2 linked regions of the Danio rerio genome follow. The protein of the gene in region 1 interacts with the protein of each later gene in a biochemical or structural test. Links are inferred from orthologs where the notes say so. Each region holds a gene or a part of one and is shown in the gene's direction. Other genes may lie near its edges. The genes, in order: shq1 and dkc1.

What was found.
Region 2: the proteins of shq1 (region 1) and dkc1 are reported together in a solved structure, tested with the Homo sapiens proteins (2 studies listed by BioGRID, with this or other methods). The link is inferred for Danio rerio from reciprocal best matches to the Homo sapiens genes SHQ1 and DKC1.

The regions. Positions count from the first base shown.
Region 1 is NC_133181.1:46,678,542-46,690,457, reverse strand, and holds the start of shq1 (protein SHQ1 homolog), read left to right. Parts: upstream 1-6,454; 5' UTR 6,455-6,547; intron 6,548-8,413; 5' UTR 8,414-8,432; coding exon 8,433-8,575; intron 8,576-8,998; coding exon 8,999-9,063; intron 9,064-11,916. Other genes in the region: gxylt2 (glucoside xylosyltransferase 2 precursor), read right to left, coding at 3,642-3,910. UniProt on the Homo sapiens protein: Required for the quantitative accumulation of H/ACA ribonucleoproteins (RNPs), including telomerase, probably through the stabilization of DKC1, from the time of its synthesis until its association with NOP10, NHP2, and NAF1 at the nascent H/ACA RNA.
Region 2 is NC_133196.1:47,451,887-47,463,231, forward strand, and holds part of dkc1 (H/ACA ribonucleoprotein complex subunit DKC1), read left to right. Parts: intron 1-377; coding exon 378-464; intron 465-794; coding exon 795-886; intron 887-2,294; exon of another isoform or gene 2,295-2,371; intron 2,372-2,444; coding exon 2,445-2,629; intron 2,630-2,736; coding exon 2,737-2,801; intron 2,802-4,594; coding exon 4,595-4,721; intron 4,722-6,245; exon of another isoform or gene 6,246-6,322; intron 6,323-6,395; coding exon 6,396-6,526; intron 6,527-6,545; exon of another isoform or gene 6,546-6,682; intron 6,683-6,788; coding exon 6,789-6,932; intron 6,933-6,982; exon of another isoform or gene 6,983-7,059; intron 7,060-7,133; coding exon 7,134-7,254; intron 7,255-7,296; exon of another isoform or gene 7,297-7,372; intron 7,373-7,440; coding exon 7,441-7,559; intron 7,560-9,821; exon of another isoform or gene 9,822-10,195; coding exon 10,196-10,299; exon of another isoform or gene 10,300-11,345.

The DNA.
Region 1 (11,916 bases):
ACGTGAGGTTGAGTAAATTAAGCATTTTTTGCTTTTTAGTGTTCTATTCTTTTCATTAAGAAATCCAAAAGCATTCTACAAAAACCTGAGATTGGGATCAGACGGTTTGTGTTTGTTGGAGCCCTCGGGACAAAACAAACCCCGTGGGCCCCCCTGAACGTGATGAAACACATCATCAGGGACACATTTGTCTGTTTTTCAGCAGCGAGGCAGGAAGCACGTCTGGAGGATGCGCTTAAAAAGGACAAACTTGTGCGGAAGAGTTAATCACTTCTAAATAAAACAACAGGTCATACGGGACGAGATGGCTTTACCCCTCCTCCTTCCTCTGTGGAGATGGATGGGGAGCCAGGAATTAAACGCACAGAGCGTTTTCCAACTCACACCCTCTCATCCCTCTTGTTTGTACGGTGGATCTGTTTAACTAATTTCCGCGTGACTGCATTGGCCCGGTGCATTGTGGGTTTATCAGCAGAGAGCAGTCACAGGGGTGTGGACATGAAGACGGATCACTGCTGGCAACCCAACAGGAGGGTCAAAGGGTTGAGATATCTCACAACTGCAATTAGTGGCGTTTATGTGAAGCTGTCAGAAGGGTGATAACATATGCTTGCTGAAACAAGACATGCCATGAATATTAAACTCACCCTTTTACACTATGAAAAAGCCAACCAGTTATGGTTCACCTTAGGGCTGTGAAATACGATGATATACATTGTATGGACAAAATATTGTTTTATAGTATGCCAACACAATCTCAAGGCAATTCGTAACCTTTTGATTTAGTGGCTAATTTGTATGAATGCGTACGTTTTCATTTGTACAATTTAGTACGATTTGCTTATCCTCCAATGACGGTTGGGTTTAGGGGTGGCATGAGCCTCCTTTTTAAATTTGTACATTTCATATGACTGAACTCGTACAAATTTTTACTAATTAGCCACTGACAAAATGCAAAATAGTAGCGTTTCCTCATACGATCAGGCTGATTATGCTGTATCGTTTATTTCTTGAGTCACAAAGTACGTTGTTTATGGTAAAACGTTTTCTCCATTTATATGAGCACAATATTACACGCCATTTAAAATAGTACGGCCTTTACATTTTGCATTTTATTTAGCAATATTTTTCAAAGTTGGATCTGTGATCATTTGTTTTGAAAAGTGGTTTATATTTTCGATTTACACATTTTTAATTAAACATTTGTAATTAAGTTCTAAATCGGGCTACACAATATATAATTTAGCAACGATATCGCAATTTGCGAATCTGCAATAGTCACATCGACAATAGAAATTTGCAATGTCAAACTGGTACCACAATTAACCAGAAAACACAGTTCAGAACATGCAATTTGTAGAGTCATTGCAAAGTTTAGTTGTAATTTAATAATATGAAAGACTTTTATTTAGATTATGTTTGTGATTTCATGAGAATTTAAACCCCGTTTGCCGCTTTCATAAAGATTAATAGTGTTTAGTTTTTTAATGCAATAGAATAAAAACTGGTCAATGTTATTTTACATTTGATTAAAGCATTTCTGTACTTTAACACTGTTAAATTCCAACTGAAAACCATAATGTACTGCTTAGTTATTTTTTTCTATCTTTGTCCTATTGTTTTCATCTGTGTGTTTTTTTTTTTTGTTTTTTTGCTGAATTTTTGAATATTTTTGCAGATACACTCAACTATAAATCATTCCAATCAGTATAAAATACAGAAATCTTTCCAAATAGAGACATCTTGTAAATTTTCTTTCTTATCACAATTAGGCATAGGACAATAACAGCTTTTAAGGTATAAAGCGGTTTGGAAATGATTTATTTTTACGCTTTTTTTGTTTAGTTTTTTGGACAATGGTATCTCCAGCTGAAAAAGTGTCCAAAGATGCCATTTTAAATTGTAAAGAAATCAGTATTTTTGAAACTAATGAATTATTTAGCCTGACATGTTTACTGCTCCAAAATATTTTAATGTTTCTCAAAATAAAATATATTGGCTGTGTCCAAAATCACCTACTACTCAGTAGTTAATGCATTTGAATTTAAACATACTACTAACTTGACCAATAAAACAGTATGTTCTGTATAGTATGAATGTAGTGTGATGGCGTCGAATGTAGCATGCCATCCAGGTACTTCTCGCATTTTCAAATTTTATGAATTCAGACATTCTACTCCGCTCGCATACTATTTTTAGCATACTATGTAGAATGGAAGTATGTGATTTCGGACACAGCTATTGTGTTTAAAGCGGAAAAAAGTTTTTGTTTTTACCCAGACTATTAAAACGAATATATTCACAATACCATAAAACCCTGATATTTTATCGAAGGTTATCATACCGTTAAAATCTTAAAGCGGCCCATACCTAATCACAATATTTATCGCAGAAAAACAAAACATTGCAATGTCATTTTTCAAAATCGTGCAGCCCTAGTTATAAATAATGTAAAAAAAAAACACATATGAATGAGTACAAATATGAGTATTGTATATACTTTACATTGTAAGAAAAAATAGTTCTTTCCATGTGGTTAATATATTTAAACTAATAACTGATGAATATATGTATATTTTGGTATCAGGCAGGATATGAGATGACTTATATCATGATATGAGATTTTTGTCATGTCGGTCAGCCTTGGTTAATCTATATTATTGTATAACTGCAGGTTACCATGTGTGTATATGTATATATACGGTCCACCCTATACACAACGTCTGAAATCTGTCTGAATGGATTGTAATGTATTAACATGCACCTTTTAAGCAACATTGGTATGATAATTATTGTGAAAAGCACAACTTGGATTGAACTGAACATTGGGGTTCTTATATTTTAACATTAAAATACTGTTCACCTATAGGCTAAATGTGGGAGAAACTCTTTTTAATTATGTTTCAAGAAGGGCGGACGGTCTTAATAAATAAACCACTCCATCTTCCGGTCTCTAGGGACTGTTTGCTTTTACTCACAACCAATCATTGATTTTGTCCTCTATTGAGACCCTTTGGGAACGAGGCAACTGCATTCAAGGTGACCTTTTTAATAAAGCCATAATGAAAATACAATTGAGATAATCATGGATGAGATGCTCACAGGGGGCTCTTGGACTGGGCTTTGTAGCATGCACAAAGCACACTGCTCTCTGGCAACATTTAAGACGTTAGTGCATCACAATCTGGTGTGGATAGTGCAGAAATGATGCCATGCACGATTATCTGTCTTGCTGTATTAAGAAATCTAAAGATTGCACAATCAGCTCAAGACATTCTTGCCAAAATGTCCTTTGTCACAGCAGGCTTTTTGACAAGTATGTCTGGTTGGATTGGCTGTGTTGACATCCAGAAAAAGATCAGTGGTTTATTAATTGTTAATAAAACGTGTTGTTATGTACAAATCACAGAAAATTTTATGCAAATCCAAGTCATAAATTCCCTTGTGGATCAAACACATGCACTGATTTTAAAGCAGTTGAAAGGATGTTAACTCGAGAAGGAAGAAAAATGCATTGTTTTACATTATGTGATGTATTATGAAAAACTGATATCAGACATAATAAAACACACTTGCACACATTCTGTTGTTGGATCATACATATTGTTGATCATGATTTTTGCACTTGAAGAATGTCTTACCGAGTCTTCGCGATGACATTCTCTGCTCTCCTGCTGCTCAACTTGGGCTCTTTGCGGATTAGTTTCGGTGGTTTCTGTGGCTCCTCGTTGGTTTGTTTCGCACCTTTCAGAAGGACAATGTCCTCGAAATTACCGAATGATGGAAAATGTTTTTCTTTCGCAACTTCTTTCAGCGGCGGCTCGTCCGCAGCGTTCCCCCCGAAAAAGTACAAAAGTAGAAAAACTCCGAAGCACACCGCGATGGCCACAACCTTGCAGTGAATCCTCATGGTGAAAAAGTGCTCCGTCCGCGGTGGGGTGTTTTAACCATGGCTCTGGTTAAAACAAGGGGACATATTTGTAGTGTGCAGCCATACTTCTTCATTTGTACTGTGTGTGATGATGAAGACGATGCTGCTCAGCTTAGCGCCGATCTCTCTCACGTAAATGAATCTCTGAAGGCGGACCTTACTCTCCTTACCGTAATACTTGTAATGCACTCCAGCGCAATGAAAGTACAAAATAAATGGTATATCCATTCATTCATTTTCTTTTGGCTTAGTTCCTTTATTCATCAGGGGTCACCACAGCGGAATGAACCTCCAACTATTCCAGCATATGTTTTACGCAATGGATGCCCTTCCAGCTGCAACCCAATACTGAGAAACACCCATACACTAACATTCACACTCATACACTACAGTCAATTCAGTTTATTCAGTTCACCCATATTGCATGGGGGGAAATTGGAGCACCCAAAAGAAACCAATGTGGGGAGAACATGCAAACTCCACACAGAAGTGCCAAATGACCCAGCCGAGACTCAAACCAGCGACCTTCTTGCTGTGAGGCAACAGTGCTAACCACTGAGCCAAACAAATGGTATATCTTATTAAAACTGCTTTGTTACAGTTATTAAGTATATTATTTTGCTGTCAGGAGGATATTTTTTTTTATATTATGACTATAATGTTATTCATTGTGATGTTATCTTTATTTTATTTTTAATCTTTTTATTAGTCTTTTGTGTGACAAAATTAATTATTGTGAGGTAAACAGTAAGTTATTGTCCACTGTTAATCACATCCCCTAACCCCTCATTCATTAACCCAATTAACAAAACAAGAAAAATAAATATAAAAATGCATAAATACCAAATGAAGTACATTAACACTTAACAATAATATCAGAGAATAACTGCATACAGATGGAAAAAAAGGAATGAATTAATTAATAATAATAGCCTAAGTAAAAACAAAACTTCCTTCCAACAAAATGACTAATGTTACAAGTTGTTAGTATGCGGTGTAAACTTTAATTATAATATGCATTTACTGTATCTCATCAAACCTTGCAAAACCAGAATTTTTTTTTTAAATTGCATTTCTTAATGTATAATTGTCTTTTTTTGTTTGTTTTGTTTATATCTATATTCATCTTATTCCTCCTATTTCTGCTTATTTACTGTAGTGCCGTTTTTTATGCTTTTTTAAATTAGATTTTAAACTGCATTGCAATATATTTAAAGGGATAGTTAAAAAACTTAGGTCATCCATGTGGAGTTAGTTTGAAATTCATTCATTCATTCATTCATTTTCTGTTTGGCTTAGTCCCTTTATTAATCTGGGGTCACCACAGCGGAATGAACTGCCAACCCATCCAGCATATGTTTTACACAGAACATGTAAACTCCACGCAGAAAATACCAACTGACCCAGCCTGGGTTCGAACCAGCGACAATATAATAAATAAATAAAATAAATACCAAATGAAGTACACTTAACCATAATATCAGAGAATAACTGCATACAGACGAAAAAAAATTCACCATTAATTAATGAATTAATAATAATAATAAGTAAAAAAATATCCCTTCTAACAAACTGACTAATGTTACAAGTCGCAAGTATGATAAGTAATCTTTAACAAAAATATGCCTTTTATTGTGTCTTATAAAACCTTGCAAATCAGAAATTAATTTAAAATGGCATTTTTTAGTGTATAATTGTCTTTTTAGTTTTATTTACATCTATATTCAACTTTTTGTTTATTTACTGTAGCCTGCTTGTAAAATTTATTTTGCAGCATACAGGGACAAATAAAGTAAAATAACTAACATATTGGATGACCTGAGTTTTTTTAACCAATATGGGGTTATTTTAAAAAATGTATTAATGTTTATATAGTTTTCCTGTAGCCCTAAATGTATTTTTGACCCTTTAAAGGGATAGTTCATAATAAATGAATATTCTGTTATGATTTACTTCCCTCATCCTGCTTTTTTTTTAGTTGTGAAGGGGACAGTTTACTGTCAATGAGCGTCGTCTTTCGGATGAGACGTAAAACCAAGGTCCTGACTCTCTGTGATCATTAAAAATCCCATAGCACTTCTTTTAAAGAGTAGGGGTGTAACCTACATCCAGATTCTCTCCACTGGCCCTTACCCAACATGGCCTCCCAATCATCTCCATCTACTGAGTTGGCTCTATCACTGTCTCTTTACTCCTCTTATAGTTGGTGTGTGGTGACCGCACTGGTGTAATTGTCCGGGGGCTACCATCACATCATCCAAATACATTTATAAAAGTTTAGAACCACATGCAGGTGAGTAAATAGTAATTGAATTTTCATTTTGGGGTGAACATTCCCTTAAGGCTAAAATCTTTAGATCTTTTTAATATTCCACTTTTATGATTCTGAGTTTTTGGGGGATTTGATTTACAGTCTCTATAATCATCAAAATCCTCAAACCTTCACGGTGTTGTATTTTTTTGAAAAATATCGCGTATTATTTTATGCCGCCTTTATATGTGGCATTACGGTAAAACATGGCCATCAGAGAAAGCAGGAAGCAGACAATCCATGTGCTGCATATGTGTTACTGATGTTGTTTAGCGCATTTAACTGTTCACAGAAAACGCGTGAAGGTATGAAACGTTTTGTTTTATGTTGTTGTAATTTGTGTCTTTTATATCGCATTATATTAATGAATAACGTAATAACTTAAATACTGCATTTAGTGTGTCTTGTCTTGCCTGTTTTACGTTGGCATAAACATTGAATAAACAAAAAGGTAGACATAGGTTTTGGCATCTTCTTGTCTGTATTGGGATTTATCATCTTTCATCATTTAATTGACTGATTTGGCTGTGGTTTTGGCTGTGAGCACGTATTAAATCAATATAGCGACTTTTATCTTCTTGTTGCGTGGTTTTCCTTTATTTTGGTATTTTGTCCTTTTAAAAATGCTTATTGACTGTTTAATAGAGTTGTATTGAATATGATAATGTTAATGTAAAGCTAACTGTGTCTAAAATACTAGTTGGCAAAGGGGTTGTTTACAATATTTCTTATTGAGAACTAATGGAGTAACCACAAGGTGGAGTTGTAAGCTGCCCTTTTCTTTTCTTTTACTCCTCACATGTTGACTTTTTGTCAGATGGACCATGGCTAGTTGATTTTTTGAGTTTGAGTTGATTATTTGATTGAGTTATGTTGGTTTTATATTCGCACATTTGTTCAGTGACAACTTGTGAAATCCTCCCTATTTTGTTTACCATGGTACTTTGAATATTCGGTCTGAAATGACATGCTAGTATGACTTCAAAACAACATCAACACTATTCAGTTGACTGTGAACATTGTTGTATTTTGATAGTCATTAGCTGCTAATATGATTCAATATTTAGAATTAGCAAAGAAAACTTTTATGAAATTATATTATTAACGAGAAAGTCTGAATGTGTGAATATAAAAGCCAATGATGATGTAATGATGTAACTGATGTAATGTCAGATGTTTGATTATTGTTGTAGTTTCCTATTTAGAGATACAATACTAACACATAAAAGAAGATATTAATTGATTCTTTAAAATTTTGTGAAATATTGATTTTATTTTGGCTACGTGGTGGTGCAGTGGCTAGCACAATCGCCTTACAGCAAGAAGGTCGCTGGTTCGAGTCTTAGCCCAGTCAGTTTTGTTGAGTTTGCAATTTGCATGTTCTCCCTGTGTTCCATGTGGGTTTCCTCTGGGTGCTCCGATTTCCCCCACAAGTCCAAAGACATGTGGTATAGGTGAATAGAGTAAATTGTCCATTGTGTATGTGTGTGAATGAGTCTTTATATATGTTTTCCAGTGATGGGTTGCAGCTGGAAGGGCATCCGCTGCATAAAACGTGCTGGATAAATTGGTGATTCATTCTGCTGTGGCGACCCCGCATTAATAAAGGGACTAAGCCGAAAAGAAAATGAATAAAATTATTTTATTATATTATATTATTATTAGTTTTTTAAATATTCTTTTTCGATTTAATTTTAATTGAGTTTATTGTGTAGTAGCATTATATTATATAATGTTTAGTGTTGTGCAAAAATGAATCCTAATTAATCGCATCCAAAATAAAAGTTTGTTTTGATACATGCATAGAAACAAAACTATACAAATCTATTTTGTTGCAGATACTTAAATGTTTATATATAATTTGTATCATATACAAATATTTTTTATATCTAAATATAAATAAGCATTTTCTCAAATATATACATGCCTGTGTATTTACATAAAAATAATAAATATACACAGTACATACACTCAAACTATATCAAACTATTATTTTGGATGCGATTAGTTGCAATTAATTTTTGCACAGCACTAATTATGTTATATTATATTATAACTTGGCATAGGAAATAATTTGAAAATGTAATTAAAAAAAATTCTTTAGGATTACTTTTGTCCATTTTTGAATAATAATCACTAATTGTTTGTTTTTTTCTGTCTTGTTGTTGCAGTACTTCACAGTGTATAATCATGATAACGCCGGCATTTGAACTCAGTCAAGATGCAGATTTCCTCATTGTAGTTATTCGTGTACCCTACACCAGAACATCAGATTTCGACATCTACATCCAAGAGGAGGAATTTAAGTTCTATGCCAAGCCCTACTTTCTCAGGTGACTCTGCAAATGCGTTGATTGACATTTTGTTACAGGAAAAAGCATTTACAAAGATTTTTACTTGCTAGGACAGAGCCCTAAAAAAGCATTTAAACGGCTTATCCACAATTAAAATGAATAATAAACTCCTTTGAAAATTATTGCAGAAACTACTCAATTTGGAACATTCTGAGATTGGTCGTAAATACACTGGTTACCATTTAAAGTGAATCAAAGCCTTTCACTAGAGTCTACTAGAGAGAAGGATCATTGCATAGGATCATTTGTTTTTAGAAGCGGCTTGGTTTTATGTTTGTTCATGTAAAACAGGGACATTTATGAATTTGACTTTTAGTTTTAGAATGCAAATTGCAAATAAATGCATAAACATGTTGTAGTGCAAATGTTAATATATTGTTATTGTTAATACTTGCTCTGAAGGTTGACTCTGCCTGGGAGAATAGTTGAAGATGGACGGGAAAAAGCTTCATTCGATATCGATAAAGGTAACAATCACTTTTTGTTACTGTTTTTCCTGCGGGTCTCTCGGAAAGCAACTGAAAACTGTTTTTATTTGCTCTTCAATACCTTTGAGCACAGACACTTGACAGTTTCTTGACCAAAAAAAAAAAAAAAACACATAAGCAAGCTTCAGCGGAAGCAGCAAAATTGTTGTAGAAATCCGTTTCTTCAAATGTTCTTCTCTAGCTTTACTCAACCTATTACTAAGCTATTTTAGAAGCAGTTATTATTAATTGAACCAGTTTTTCTCATTGTAGTTATAAAGTTGTGCTCAAAAGTTTACACACCACTTGAAGTATTTGTTAAAATGTGAAAAGTTTTAATAAAATCTGAGATGATACAAAATGGATTGAACAAATGGATGTTATTTCTGTTTAGTACCGTTCTGAGTAGGATATTTTACTTAAAAGAAGTTTACATCCAGTTCACTGGAAAACTGAAGAATGTGCTGAAGATGCAGTTGGTTTAACTGTTCAGAACAAACAAGACACTTGTGAACAACATCACAAAGCAAAAAAAGCACTCATAGATCATCAGGAAACCACACACCGTATTAAAAAGCAAGGATATGTACAGTTTTGCTAGGGGTTATTAACATTTTGTTTCTGCAAAATTCTTGTGTAGTGAGCTATAGGTAATTTTGTTTCATGTACAATATGTTACTCAGGACAGCGCTAAATTTAAAAACAATGCACATTTTGGTAAAATTATTCACTTTCTAAAAAAATATATACAGTTGTTTTCGAACGGGTTATGTAAACTTTTGAGTAAGCTGTATATATCTAAAAAAACAACAACAACAATGTGGGACGAAATAAAATGGATGTTCTTAAAAAAGTAAACCCTACCAGACGATAAAAGGTAAAGCTTACCTTTTCTTACAGTTCTTGTGGAATTAATTAATAGCTTGGTGATTAGTGTAATATATAATCAATATTGCACAAAGAAATGTTCAGTATTAGCATGACTGTGATTCCAATTACAGCCACGCTGAAATAGAGCAATACTGCACAGTCTGACAGCACAAGTGTGTAAATTAAAATGGTCTTAAATGGATAGTTCCCCCAAAACTGAAAACTCTGTGATCATTTACTCGACTTTCACTTATCTCTAACCTGTTCTGAGTTTTTTTTCTGTTGTATTTAAAAGAAGTTATTTTGAAAAATGTCAAAAAACATTTAACTATTGACTTGCATGGTATTTGTTTTTTTTAGTTTCCAGAATTTTTCTTTCGTGTTCAACAGAAAAAGAAAAACACATAAAACCTTTTGAGGGTGGGTAAATGATGAGTACATTTTCATTTTTGGGTGCTTTATCCCTTTAAAAATATTGTGTGTGAGAAATTCCTTTCTATTACTTTTGATTAAAATCTTAGGTTGACAGTTTAAGCTCAAGCCTCTAAAATTGTGGAGGCAAATGTTCAGAAAGCTTTTGTCTTTATATTTTAACTGTGTATTTGAGCTGCATTCTTGACCAAAGACTCATTAAAAATAAATGATGCTATGCAACAACAGTAGCATTTCTACATTTCTTTTTGGTTTGAAAGATTGCAGCCAGTCAGCTCATTTGTTATTATTTTACAGTTTCTACATCAAATTCAAGCTGTCAGCCTGCTCTCCTAATAGCATTAGCATTTCCAGTTGCTAAATAATGGCCATGGGATCCTGTTTCTGACATCTCCTTGGCCTCTTTTCAGCTTGTCCTCTTTGATCGACAGCCAGTGAATAATTTAGCAGTAGTCTATCATAAAAAACGTCTAATTGCTTTCAGTGTTTACACTGAGTAACGAGTAATTATAAATCTTTCACAAATCTGGAAGGACTACAGTCAACGCAATTACTGTCATTTTAACATTACACTGTTTTAATCTCCCAGTAGGGTCTAAAATTTGAGTTTTTTTTTATTGCAAGGTTGTATCAAGCACAGTAATGTGTGCAATAGAAACTCAGCTTTTTTCGTCCCCATAATTTAGCAATTTCCATTAATTCCTACTTTGCGCTAGTAAAAAAACATCAAAGACATGTATTGAATCATATTCCTTTTCATAATTTCCTGTCTTATCTTCCTCTAAAAGGTGTTAACAAGTGAAAATTAGAGAAAAGCACTAACTTTTGGCAAATAATGGGAACAATTTTTAAGACCATTGAAAGATAACTTGTAAAACAAGGGTATTTTTTGTACAAGATATATTTATTACTTTTTCAGTTTGCATATCACAACAGATTACACAGTTACAGAATATCAATCATGTAGACACAGCAAACATTTCTCACCCTATTCTCTCTCTCTCATCAACCCATTCCCAAAAAAATCATGTTTAAATCAGGTAAAGAGTATTTCTCGAGTTTGGACCATGAAACTCTCCTACTCCCTCAGAGCTTGTTCTTGTTGTAGTAGACTGCCAACATTTACATTGTACTTTAGAAGGTTAATAAAAGGTCTCCAAATATCTTCAAACACATTTTGTTTCTTTTGACAATACATGTGATCCTTTCCATTGACATATGTGGCACCATTTCATTAATCCACTTTCCAATTCTAGGTTCATTTATATTTTTCCAATTAAGAGCAAAAATACATTTAGCCTGTAAAATACACATTGCTATGAATCTGACTTCTTTGCTTTATAGGAGAGGGCTGACAGCCTATATACCCGGAATAAAAATCTTAGGATCCAATGGTAATTTCTTTGATAAAATTTGGTCATTCATTTCAATAACGCCTTTTCAAAACAAGGGTCGTTTATTATTATTTTATTATCCCTTGTGTATTGTTCAAAATGACTAGTACCTGTCGTTATGTTCGTGGCTGTTTTTGCCCCATTGACTTCTATTATA
Region 2 (11,345 bases), on another chromosome or scaffold:
ACCTTACAGAGATTGTTACACTGTTATGGTTACAAATATAATGTGCTTTGTGCTCATAACTGTACATTATAATCTTTTAAATCCTGCTTTACTATTTAATAAATGTGAATCTCTGAAAATGCGAATATACAACCAACTTTATCACAATACTGGCATTCAATGAAGCCAAATGCTGTCACCAGACTGTACATAATCAAAATAAAATATTGTATGTGACACTCAGTGCTGTTTATTGTACAATGAATGTTTAGGAAACTGATCGGATTGCATGTTATATATTGTACATATCGTATAGGTTTTGCCATGAATATAGCCAGTGCTGCTGATATGGATTTAAAATGATAAATAAATCCTAATAAAGCTACCTTTGCCATCAGGACATTCAAGAAAGCGGAGACTTCCTCATTAAACCTGAGTCTAAGGTTGCCAGCTTGGACACATCTCAATGGCCGTTATTGCTTAAGGTCAGTTTCTGTTTACCCACAAGTCCTCTCACTTTGTCTGTGGTGTGTGACGTGATGAACTTGTTTATCCATTCGCCGAGCGCTGCTGGTTCTGTCTCTAAGCGGCCCTGCAGTCTGTTCTGGGCCGCAGGGTTTCAGCCGTCTGATTCTGCACTGCTGGGTCAATGTTTTATTGGTTCAGTTGCTGTGGAGTCTGATGTGCTGGTGCGGAGGATCAGACCGGCTCTGGCCAAGATGATTATACATGACTGACAACATGCACATACTTGGGTTAAACGTTTAATGTCGCTTTTAGTGTTTTTATTGACCTATATACATGTCTGTCTGCAGAACTTTGATAAGCTGAACATCAGGACGGCTCATTATACACCTCTACCACACGGTTCCAATCCTCTCAAGAGGGGCATACACGATTATGTCAGGTATGAAGTCTTGGATTAACGTAATCGTCTCTTAAAAGAAAAGGAAAAACTCCACCTTATTTGAAAATAGGCTAATTTCACAGCTCCCCTAGAGTTAAACGAATGTTTTAGCTTAGCATAGGACATTGAATCAGATGAATCTGCTGTTGAACTCTAGCTTAGAGTGCGCCGTCTACTGGTAAACGCTAATCTAGAGCACCTTCTGTTGAACTCCAAGCTCAGAATCGACTAAATGCTGGCTTAGAGCATGCTGTCTCTGGTAAACGCTAGCTTAGAGTGTGCAATCTGCTAGTAAACGCTGGCCCAAAGCATGCTGTTTGCTGGTCGACTCTGGCCTAGAGCATGCCGTCTGCTGGTTAACGTAAGCCTAGAGTGCTGTCTGCCTGTTAATTGCTAGCCTAGAGCGCTGTATGCCGTTGAACGCTAGCCTAGAGCACCATCTGCTTGTTAAACGCTAGCCTAGAGTGCTGCCTGCCTGTTAAACGCTAGCCTAGAGCAGTGCCTGCTGTTAAGCTCTAGCCTAGAGCGCCATCTGCCTGTTAAACGCTAGCCTAGAGCGCCATCCGCCTGTTAAATGTTAGCCTAGAGCGCAGTCCGCCAGTTAAACGCTAGCCTAGAGCGCCGTCTGCCTGTTAAACGCTAGCCTAGAGCGCCATCCGCCTGTTAAATGTTAGCCTAGAGCACCCTCCGCCTGTTAAATGCTACCCTACAGTGCGTCTGCCTGTTAATCTCTAGCCTAGAGTGTGCCGTCCACTGTTAAATACTAGCCTAGAGCTATTTGTTAAACAATTGGCTCAATTGACTAAACTCTAGATACAGCGTCTGCTGTCCGACGCTAGCCTAGAGCGCCGTCTGCTGTCCGACGCAAGCCTAGAGCGCCGTCTGCTGTCCGACGCTAGCCTAGAGCGCCGTCTGCTGTCCGACGCTAGCCTAGAGCGCCGTCTGCTGTCCGACGCTAGCCTAGAGCGCCGTCTGCTGTCCGACGCTAGCCTAGAGCGCCGTCTGCTGTCCGACGCTAGCCTAGAGCGCCGTCTGCTGTCCGACGCTAGCCAAGAGCGCCGTCTGCTGTCCGACGCTAGCCAAGAGCGCCGTCTGCTGTCCGACGCTAGCCTAGAGCGCTGTCCGACGCCAGCCTAGAAAGTTGTCAGCCGTTAAACAATAGTCCAGAGTGCCGTCTGCCATTGAACGCTACCCTTGAGCTCCAATTACTGCTAGCCTAGAGCGCCATGTTAAACTCTACCCTGCTGTTTAACTTTACCCTAGAGCCTCATCTGTTAAATGCCAGGCTAAGAATCGTCACAAATGGTGATTTTAATCATAAAACTCTCGAATTTGATGCAGAATAAAGTTCTTGAATACAGTTTCATCACAGCTCTTCAACTTTGGTATATCGAGGCCTTTGCATGAAGCCACATGATGTGATGTAGATTGCATTAGCACTCTGTGCAAAGATGACTCGCTATCTATCACCCAAGACTGATGGCTTCTCAGAAAACACAAGCGTGTTGTAGATTTGCAAAACAGCTCTGACAAGTATTTCTATCATCCATCCTCCCAGGTCTGGTTTCATTAATCTGGACAAACCCGCAAACCCATCCTCCCATGAAGTCGTGGCCTGGATCAAGAGAATCCTTCGTGTGGAAAAAACGGGTCACAGTGGCACTCTGGACCCCAAAGTCACGGGCTGCCTGATCGTGTGTGTGGAGCGAGCCACACGACTGGTCAAATCCCAGCAGAGCGCAGGTACAGTATGATCACCGCAGCATACCCAGCTTCTTTACAGTAAATACCAGCACAGTTACATTAAAACTAGTGGCCTCTCCTTACTACTCTTGTGCCGTTACTTTCAGGCAAAGAGTATGTGGGCATAGTACGGCTGCACAATGCACTAGAGAACGAACACCAGCTAGCGAGGGTAAGTAGGAGTGTGTTCTGCTTTAAACACTTGATATTTTAGTTGAGCAGTCGAGCAGCTGTATACTCTGGTCTGGCTTTTTTATCTGCTAATTTTTATAACTTTGACACATGGGCTACATTCAGATTGTTTATGTAATTTATAGGGATGCACCGATATGGATTATTTGGCCGATATCTATAACCGATAACCTTTCAGATTTGGAGGCCTATATATATATATATATATATATATATATATATATATATATATATATATAAAGGCCGATAATTATAAATATTTCAAAATAATATATATTTATACAGTGAAAAACTGATTTTATTCAAAAAAAAAATCCTAATAAAAGACTGAACAGCTCCTATGAGCTAAGTAGTCTAAACTCAAAGCAAAAAAATAATTTCTAAATTTCAAGGTCATATAGACCTATATTCTCACATAAATTAGCATGCCAAAAATATATTCCTTTAATTTGCATAGCAACTTGACATGCAACTTGAATGTTGCATAAAAATAATAGGTTAAATGACATAATGTGATTTAATTAACCAACAACTTAAACATATTTTAAATAAAATGAAAATGAAAGCTAAAACCAGCTCAAATATTCTTGAATAAAACGTGTTGCAGTAATGTACAAATACGTAATGTCGAAAAATGCGTTTTGAGAGGCATTTTGATAGTTCTGAGCCACCGTACAAGCGAAAACCTAAATACTGATAGTATGATTTACTTCAAAAAATGCGGCTTAGATTTATCCTTTTTGGCATTTTAGATTCTTTTGAATGCATTTTAATGCTGTTGGTCAATCAGACGATGCTTTTATGTTCGTTCTTGCTATCAATTGCGGGAAAAATGAGCGATAAAGTTTGATTATGCTGTTAATATCAAGCATTGTGTGATGCGCGCACGCGAAGCGCAGTCAGAGTTTGATCCAACACCTGAGCGTCGAGCACAGATGATTTCATGACAAACAATTACATAATTTATCGGCTTAAAGATATCGGCCTAATTTAGACATCGGATCAGTAACAATCTTAAAAATAGCATTTATCGGCCGATAACTATATGGCCACCGATATATCGTGCATCCCTAGTAATTTATTTTGATCATATGCTACCCATATCTATTTTTTTACTCCATTATCTTCACTGCCCGATTGAGATAATAAGTTTCTCATATCAGACAAAAGTACTACATTACATTATTCATGTAAAATATAGATATTTTACCACAGTTTTTTTTTTCAATAGTTTCACTGCTCGCCTGATTTTACTGAAATCTGCATTTAAACAGCCCTTCATCTTGTTTTACACAAACGAATGCTTGAATCTGTTTACCTGATTATATTTTAAGTACATTATCTATGCTGTTAACCTTATGAAATTAAAATTGTGACAAATCTTGAAGTTTATTGGTGGCTGAGTAACACTTGCCATACATAAAGCCATGCAATGAACCCAAGTTATTAAACTCCAAGTGCTCATTTAAATAAAGTAATTAGTGCCTCAAGGGAAAAGCTGTGTGTTATTAGTGTGCATTAGTTGCTGTATGTGGCGTGATGAACCTGTTTATCCATTCTCTGAGTGTCTCCGTCCCTCTCTCCTGCTGGCCTCCGGCTCTCCGCTGCAGTGTTTTACTGTAGCGTAGGCTGCTGGAGGCTCATGCGGGGGTTTAGGGTTCGGTTTCACAAAAGAAGAACTGACATTTCTGATCACATACACATGGACTGTTAACCGTCAGAGGCTGCAGGAAATCTGAGACTGATTTTTGGTTGTTTTGTGCTTCTCCTCAGGCTCTGGAGTGTTTAACAGGAGCTCTGTTCCAGCGGCCGCCGCTCATCGCTGCTGTGAAGCGCCAACTGCGAGTGCGCACCATCTACGAGAGCAAGCTTATTGAATATGATCCTGAGAGAAGATTAGGTAAACTATTTTTTTAATGTCTTGTGTATGGACTTTATTTAAAAGGTTAGTTCACCCAGGAATAGACATTGTATTTAATTACTGAGCTTTATAGCTTCAAATGTGTAAGAACTTTATTCTTCTTTGGTGCTTAAAAGTATTTAGAATAAATCTAAGGCTCCACACACATATTTTTATGAACCTTTTCCCTCACTTTTGTTATTAAAAAAAACTCAAATAAAAACTCCATCCACATGAAAACGCAAACTCGCTGTGCATGTTTAGGGCACTGAACCGGCAGGCAGATATAATAACACTTGTGCTGGGTTCACACTAAATAAGAGAGGTGGATTACCATCATGTGGAGTGAAAACTGTGCAGAATGTGCCTCATTTACGTTGTAAACCCAGATGCATTGGCCAATCTGAAAGGAGAAAGCTGCACGCTGACTTCATGACGCCTTTTAGGCATGTATGAAGAGCAGCAGCAATGCACAGGCTTTCACTTTGGCTGCTTTGCAGTGTGCAGTAGATCAGGGGCTATTGCATAGATCAATCTATCAATCTTTTATTTATTTAATTTATTTAATTCTTTTATATATATATATTTTTTTACACTTCATCTGCAGATAAATAAATAGATAGGTAGATAGATATATACAGATTATATAGAGTGTAGTGTCCCCTTTACTTTTACTGGGGCATTAGGACTCACGAAGACCACAGGTTGAGCTCCCCCTGCTGGCCTCTAACACCACTTCCAACAGCAACCTAAGCTGCGTCCCAAATTGCATACTTATGCACTATTCTACGCCATTTTGTAGTATAATTAGTGTAGGTAGTGTGTTCACACTGAAAACTCTAAAAATCATAAGTGCACTTTAATTACCCGGATGATGCACTCATTCAGCCGGTAAAATGAAGTGTAGACCGATGGACACTTCATGCACTCAACGACCACAGGTTTGCTTGCGTAGCGGAAGGGGCGGAGCTATCGGACGCACATGTTGAATAACTATTTTGGATGGTGAAAGCAAAATTCTCCTAAGAGAGTGATTATAGCGCCTCCTGATGGTGAATTCGGTTATACTCACTGCAGGTATTATTTGATAATTCGGTCGTTTATTTTACTGATTTGGCAAACGTCATCAGGGAAACGGTTTGAATTTCCGCTTAGTAAAAAAAGTGTTCCATTTGGGACAACACTACATGCATATCCTATCCTGTTGAGTGGTTAAGTGTATGAGTGCATAGTGTGCCATTTGGGACGCAGCTCTAGTTTTCTCATGTGGTCTCCCATCCAGGTACTGACCAGGCTCAGCCCTGCTTAGCTTCAGTGAGTAACCGGTCTCGGGCTGCAGGGTGATATTGCTATGGCACGTGACAAGTAATTGGAAAAAATGGTCCTGGAATTATTATTATTTATATTTTATCTGCAGATTTATAGGTTCTGAATGTTGATTATTGCTTAATCGCCCAGCCCTACAGCATTGAAGAGAAACGAAAGTGAAATTTTGGGTGAACTATCCCTTTCAATAATGTTGAAGCCACATGATGTGATGTAGATTGCATTAGCACACTGTGCAGAGATGACCAGTTATCTATCACCCATGACTGATGGCTGCTATCCAGAGTAATGATCATTTCCAGTGTGAGATTGTCTGCATCCATATCTATATATATTCTCACTCGACAGGTATTTTCTGGGTGAGCTGCGAAGCGGGCACATATATCCGAACTCTGTGTGTGCATCTGGGTCTGCTGCTGGGGGTCGGCGGGCAGATGCAGGAGCTGCGACGAGTCCGTTCCGGTGTTTTGGGTGAAAAGGTACGAAGAGAACCTGTAGAGCCAAAGCGTTGAGTTCAGCTCTGGGTTTCTCCCCAGTTCTGCTAATTAATCTTTGGTACAGAAAATGGCTGAGTGGTGATCAACATGAAGGGGTTATACTTTGACCTCCTTTATTAAACCCTTCAGCCGACATGAACAAATGTTAAAGGATTGTACAGGCAGTAATGCAATACCATTTGCTGAATATAAGCAGCCAGAATAGGTCTGACAAGGAAAATCTAGTAATTGATTTCTCTTGCAGGATAACCTGGTGACCATGCATGATGTGTTGGACGCCCAGTGGCAGTTTGACCACAACAAAGACGAGACGTACCTGAGGAGAGTGATCTTCCCTCTGGAGAAACTCCTCATCTCCCACAAGAGGATCGTCATGAAGGACAGCGCTGTACGAAAACCTACACCCTACATTAATATTTAACAATCTTCATGTTGCACGCCACATGATGTGACGTAGATTGCATTAGCACACTGTGCGAAGATGACCAGTTATCTATCACCCATGACTGATGGCTGTAATGCAGCATGAGTTGTTCAATATGCAATGTTTAAGTATATTCGGCTGGCCTAACTAATTGTTTTGCATCAGGTGAACGCTATATGCTATGGCGCTAAGATTATGCTACCTGGCGTCCTTCGGTATGAAGATGGCATCGAGGTCAATCAAGACATTGTGGTTATAACTACTAAAGGAGAAGCCATTTGCACAGGTAAATGTCATCCTTTGAAACTTGTAGCATGCGCCATTCTCAGCCACATGATGTGATGTAGATTGCATTAGCATTGCTGCAAAGATGACCGTTTATCTATCACCCATGACTGATGGCTCTGCAAGACTTTACAGTTGAAGTATTAGGATTTGGATGGGTTTCAATGGTTTTATTTTCCTCCTTCAGCGGTTGCTCTGATGACCACAGCTGTAATATCCACATGTGACCATGGGGTTGTCGCTAAAATCAAGAGAGTCATCATGGAGAGAGACACATATCCACGCAAATGGGGTCTTGGACCAAAGGTAATGAACATTGAGAGAAATTTGACGCCATGATGTAGGCTTGAACTCTGGTTATATCAACTCAAAATTAACCCTGTAATCCAAACTAGTGCAATCAGGCTTTGTTGTAGAACGACGTTGATCACTTTGTTTACTCTGGAGTTCATGAGCATGTGCAGATGAAGGCAGGACAATAGTAGCAAGCAGCCAATCACATGCCTTGAAATTAAGATATTTAGATTTTTTTTAGTTTCTTCTGTGAGTAAATTAACAATTCGCAGCCAAAATGTGTAAGTGGAATTTAAAAATGCTTGTACGCTCATAAAAAGAGCTGCTAAAAGGAAGTCATTTTGGTTTATTAATGCAAATGAAGTTAAATCCAATCTCTCGGCAGTATAAAGTCACAGTTTTATCTAAAACAACAATTGTGTGTTCATGGGTCGGTATAAGATTCTGACAGTATCATAACCTTGGACAAAAATATCACAATATTGTTATTACTGCTCTAAAATATAATCTTTAAAAAAAAAAACAACAACATTTTTTTTCCCCCTTTTAAAAACAATATATATTTAAAAAAAAATTAAATTTAAAATATTCTGTAGCAGTAAACGTGTCAAATAATGAAAATGAATTATTGACTTGTGCTCTTTTCATTAGTTTCTAAAACACCGATTTCTTTACAATTTGAAACGGCATCTTTGAATATCTTTTCTGCTGGAGATACTGTTGTCCTAAAAACTAAAAGTAAATTAAAAAAATATATATTTTGGCTGTTTTAAAAACCTTTTTTTTTCCCAAACCATGGTATCCCTTCAAAACGGTTATCGTCCCATGCCTAGTTAATGGCAGAACCTATTGTATTTTCAGACCCGTAGCCAAGCAGAGGGGTATGTGGTTCAAAAGATCCACCCCCCCACTGACAAAGTCCATAATTTGGCCCCTTAATGAGCTCATTTGTCTCGATTTTGACAGTATGCCATAATAAATTGTGAAAATAATCGATAGAAGTAGGTTTTAAGGGTGCTTTCACACCTCCACTTTTGTTTGGGAACCTGTCTCATTTGCCCAGTTAGTGCTGTTCGTTTGGCATATGTGAAACCAGCAATCATGCTAGGATCTGTGCCAAATCAATCGCTCCGAAATCGTTTGAATGAGGTGGTCTCGGCTCGATTAAAACTTAACTTTGGAGCGGATCCATTGCAGTGAGAAAGCGATACGATCCGAGCGCGGTTATATCACTGTGTTTTATGGATATGTAATAGGCATACGGCGATATGAAGAGAGAATTATAGGGCGGGAAATTTCGCGAGTTTCCAGATGCCCGCAAACGTGTGATAATCTCCTGGTAATCTTGCGTCTTCCTCCCGGTCCTCAAATGGGCTACGTCGTGCATCATTCTCACCCCTCCCCACCCCGTCTCTCCTCACTCTACAGATGGACGCACCTTGTTAAACACCACCAAACCACCACCTCTCCTGACAGCTGACCGAGACTCTGCAAAATTAACCCTGACACTGACCAATGTGAGGAGAGTTTACTCACACGTGACTTGTTTTAGCTCTTTTGGTCCGTTTAGAAACTTTGCTGTGTGAAAGCGAACCGCGCCAAGAATAAAGAGCAACAATGTAACAATAGTAATCTCTATTTCGGAACAACTGAATCGATTCACAGGTGTGAAAGCAGCCTAAGATAGATAAAATTACATTTAAATGGACAAATTCTGACTTGCTGACCTGTTTATTTACCTATAGGGTAGTTTTTGAATTAAAACATGTTTTAACAGATTCCTAATTAGTTTTTTCATGATGAATAATACATTTAGTGTTTCATATTTCTTAATTTTAAAATGTTTAATTTTAAAAATCTAATTATTTTATTTTTCAAATGCACATTTGTAAAACACTTCATGGTTAAATAGTAGTATGGTGAGCACTTTGTAGGAAATATTTTTGTTGCACTAAAGTTTGATTATAATAATCAATCAACAAGCTAATCCAGAAAAGGTTAGTGCTTTAAAGCAGTGTTTGAAATTCATAATTTAATAGAAAATGAGGTGAATAACTGCAAAAAGGTCTTTATTTATTTTGAGAAAAGAACCACCCCTTTTAATAGTCTGCCGTATAGTTCAAATCCTAAGCACAGTGTGGTGTGTGATTAATTTAAATGTTACTGCTGGAAAGTCATTTTATTGGCTCCCTGTGTCTTGTTGTGGGAGTTTTTCTTAAGTCGGATATATCAAGTTAATGCTGAATCATTTTCTGCTTTTAGGACCCTCATAAATCCCTTTTTTTTTTTTTTTTTTTTTTTTTTTTTTTTTTTTTTTTTTTAACAAATTTAGTTTGGCTTCAGATGCCTCCTGCCTATTTTAAGTGAGTACGTAAAAATATGAAAGTTTGAGTCTGGAGATACGAAAGAGACAGCCTATTGAAATACAATAGCTTAAATGTCTTTGTGGTCTCTAAACTAAAGCATATTAGCAGTACAGCATAATATACAATGGCAATCCAAAATTATTTAAATGTTCCTGCTGCCTAAAATCCAGAATTGGTGCGTGTTTAAACAGGCTAGCCAGCTAATCCATCTTCATGGTACACGCCCCAGAGTAAATGTTAATAATGATGTACTATTTAAATGTGGCAACTCCTGCATTTCAGGCCAGCCAGAAGAAAATGATGATCCAAAAGGGACTTCTAGACAAACATGGCAAACCAAACAACAGCACACCTTCAGACTGGAAAGAGGGCTATGTAGACTACAGGTATGCATGTTTCCGTGTTCGCACACATTCCTGCAGACTGTTATCCCTTTTTGTTCTGCTGTGAGCCTAGAGGGAGTCTGTCTGCTAAAGCAAAACCCTGAGCTCAGGCTAATGCTGTCTGCACGATGTGTGCACGATGGACACCTGAGCTCTGTGGACATCTGCATAACTCTTCCTGATCCTGATCTTTCTTTTAATGATCACTTGTGCAGGTTTACACTGACTGCATTAATGCAGGCTAAACGTGTAGCAACACAAAATGCCTTTAATAATCTTAAGAAAGCATTTTGGTGCCTTCACAACTTCTGTCGTCATTATATTTTACACGAAAGCCAAAATGTTTTTATGTAAGATCTATATAGAGGCGATCTCTTATTCGTTATTAATCATGCCTTTTAAACTGTGGGTTGTGATCTTAGCACCCCTAGATATTAGTAAGAGTATTGTTCGTTGTATAGGATATCTATAAGCTAGTGTGCTCAAACAGTAGATGTTTATATCAGGGTCCCCGCGGGGTCTTAAAGTATTAAATCTTAAATTAAAAAAATTGACATTTATGGCTTTAAAAAATCTTAAATTTGTTGTTCTTGGTCTTAAATATTTTTGCACAGGTCATATTTTTGCGATGTCCATGTAACGCTACATCTAATGCTCATTTAAATTCTTGTTGTTGTTGCTTGGTTTTTGGGGTTGTTGTAGTTTTATGACTATTATTACTTTATTTTACTAGTCCAATTGTAATTTTCTGTTTTACAACTGCAAAAAAGTCAACTTGCAATAGCCAATCAGCTTTCTGATATTAAACTCAAATGTAACATCATCGCTGTGTTTGCGGAAGTTCACTTTGAGTGCGCGCGACATGATTTCGGCTGGCAGAGTATGCCGTTATTTCACTGACAAATGTCGCAAGTGCAGTTTTATAAGTCGAGAGCGCTGAATAACGAGAGAGTGAATCTCTGCTCACGCGCCGGTTTCCTTTGTTCATGGACAAAACTGCTTGCGAGCTCTCAAAACACTGGCTGCTCACGTGCAAATGATCTGCTCTC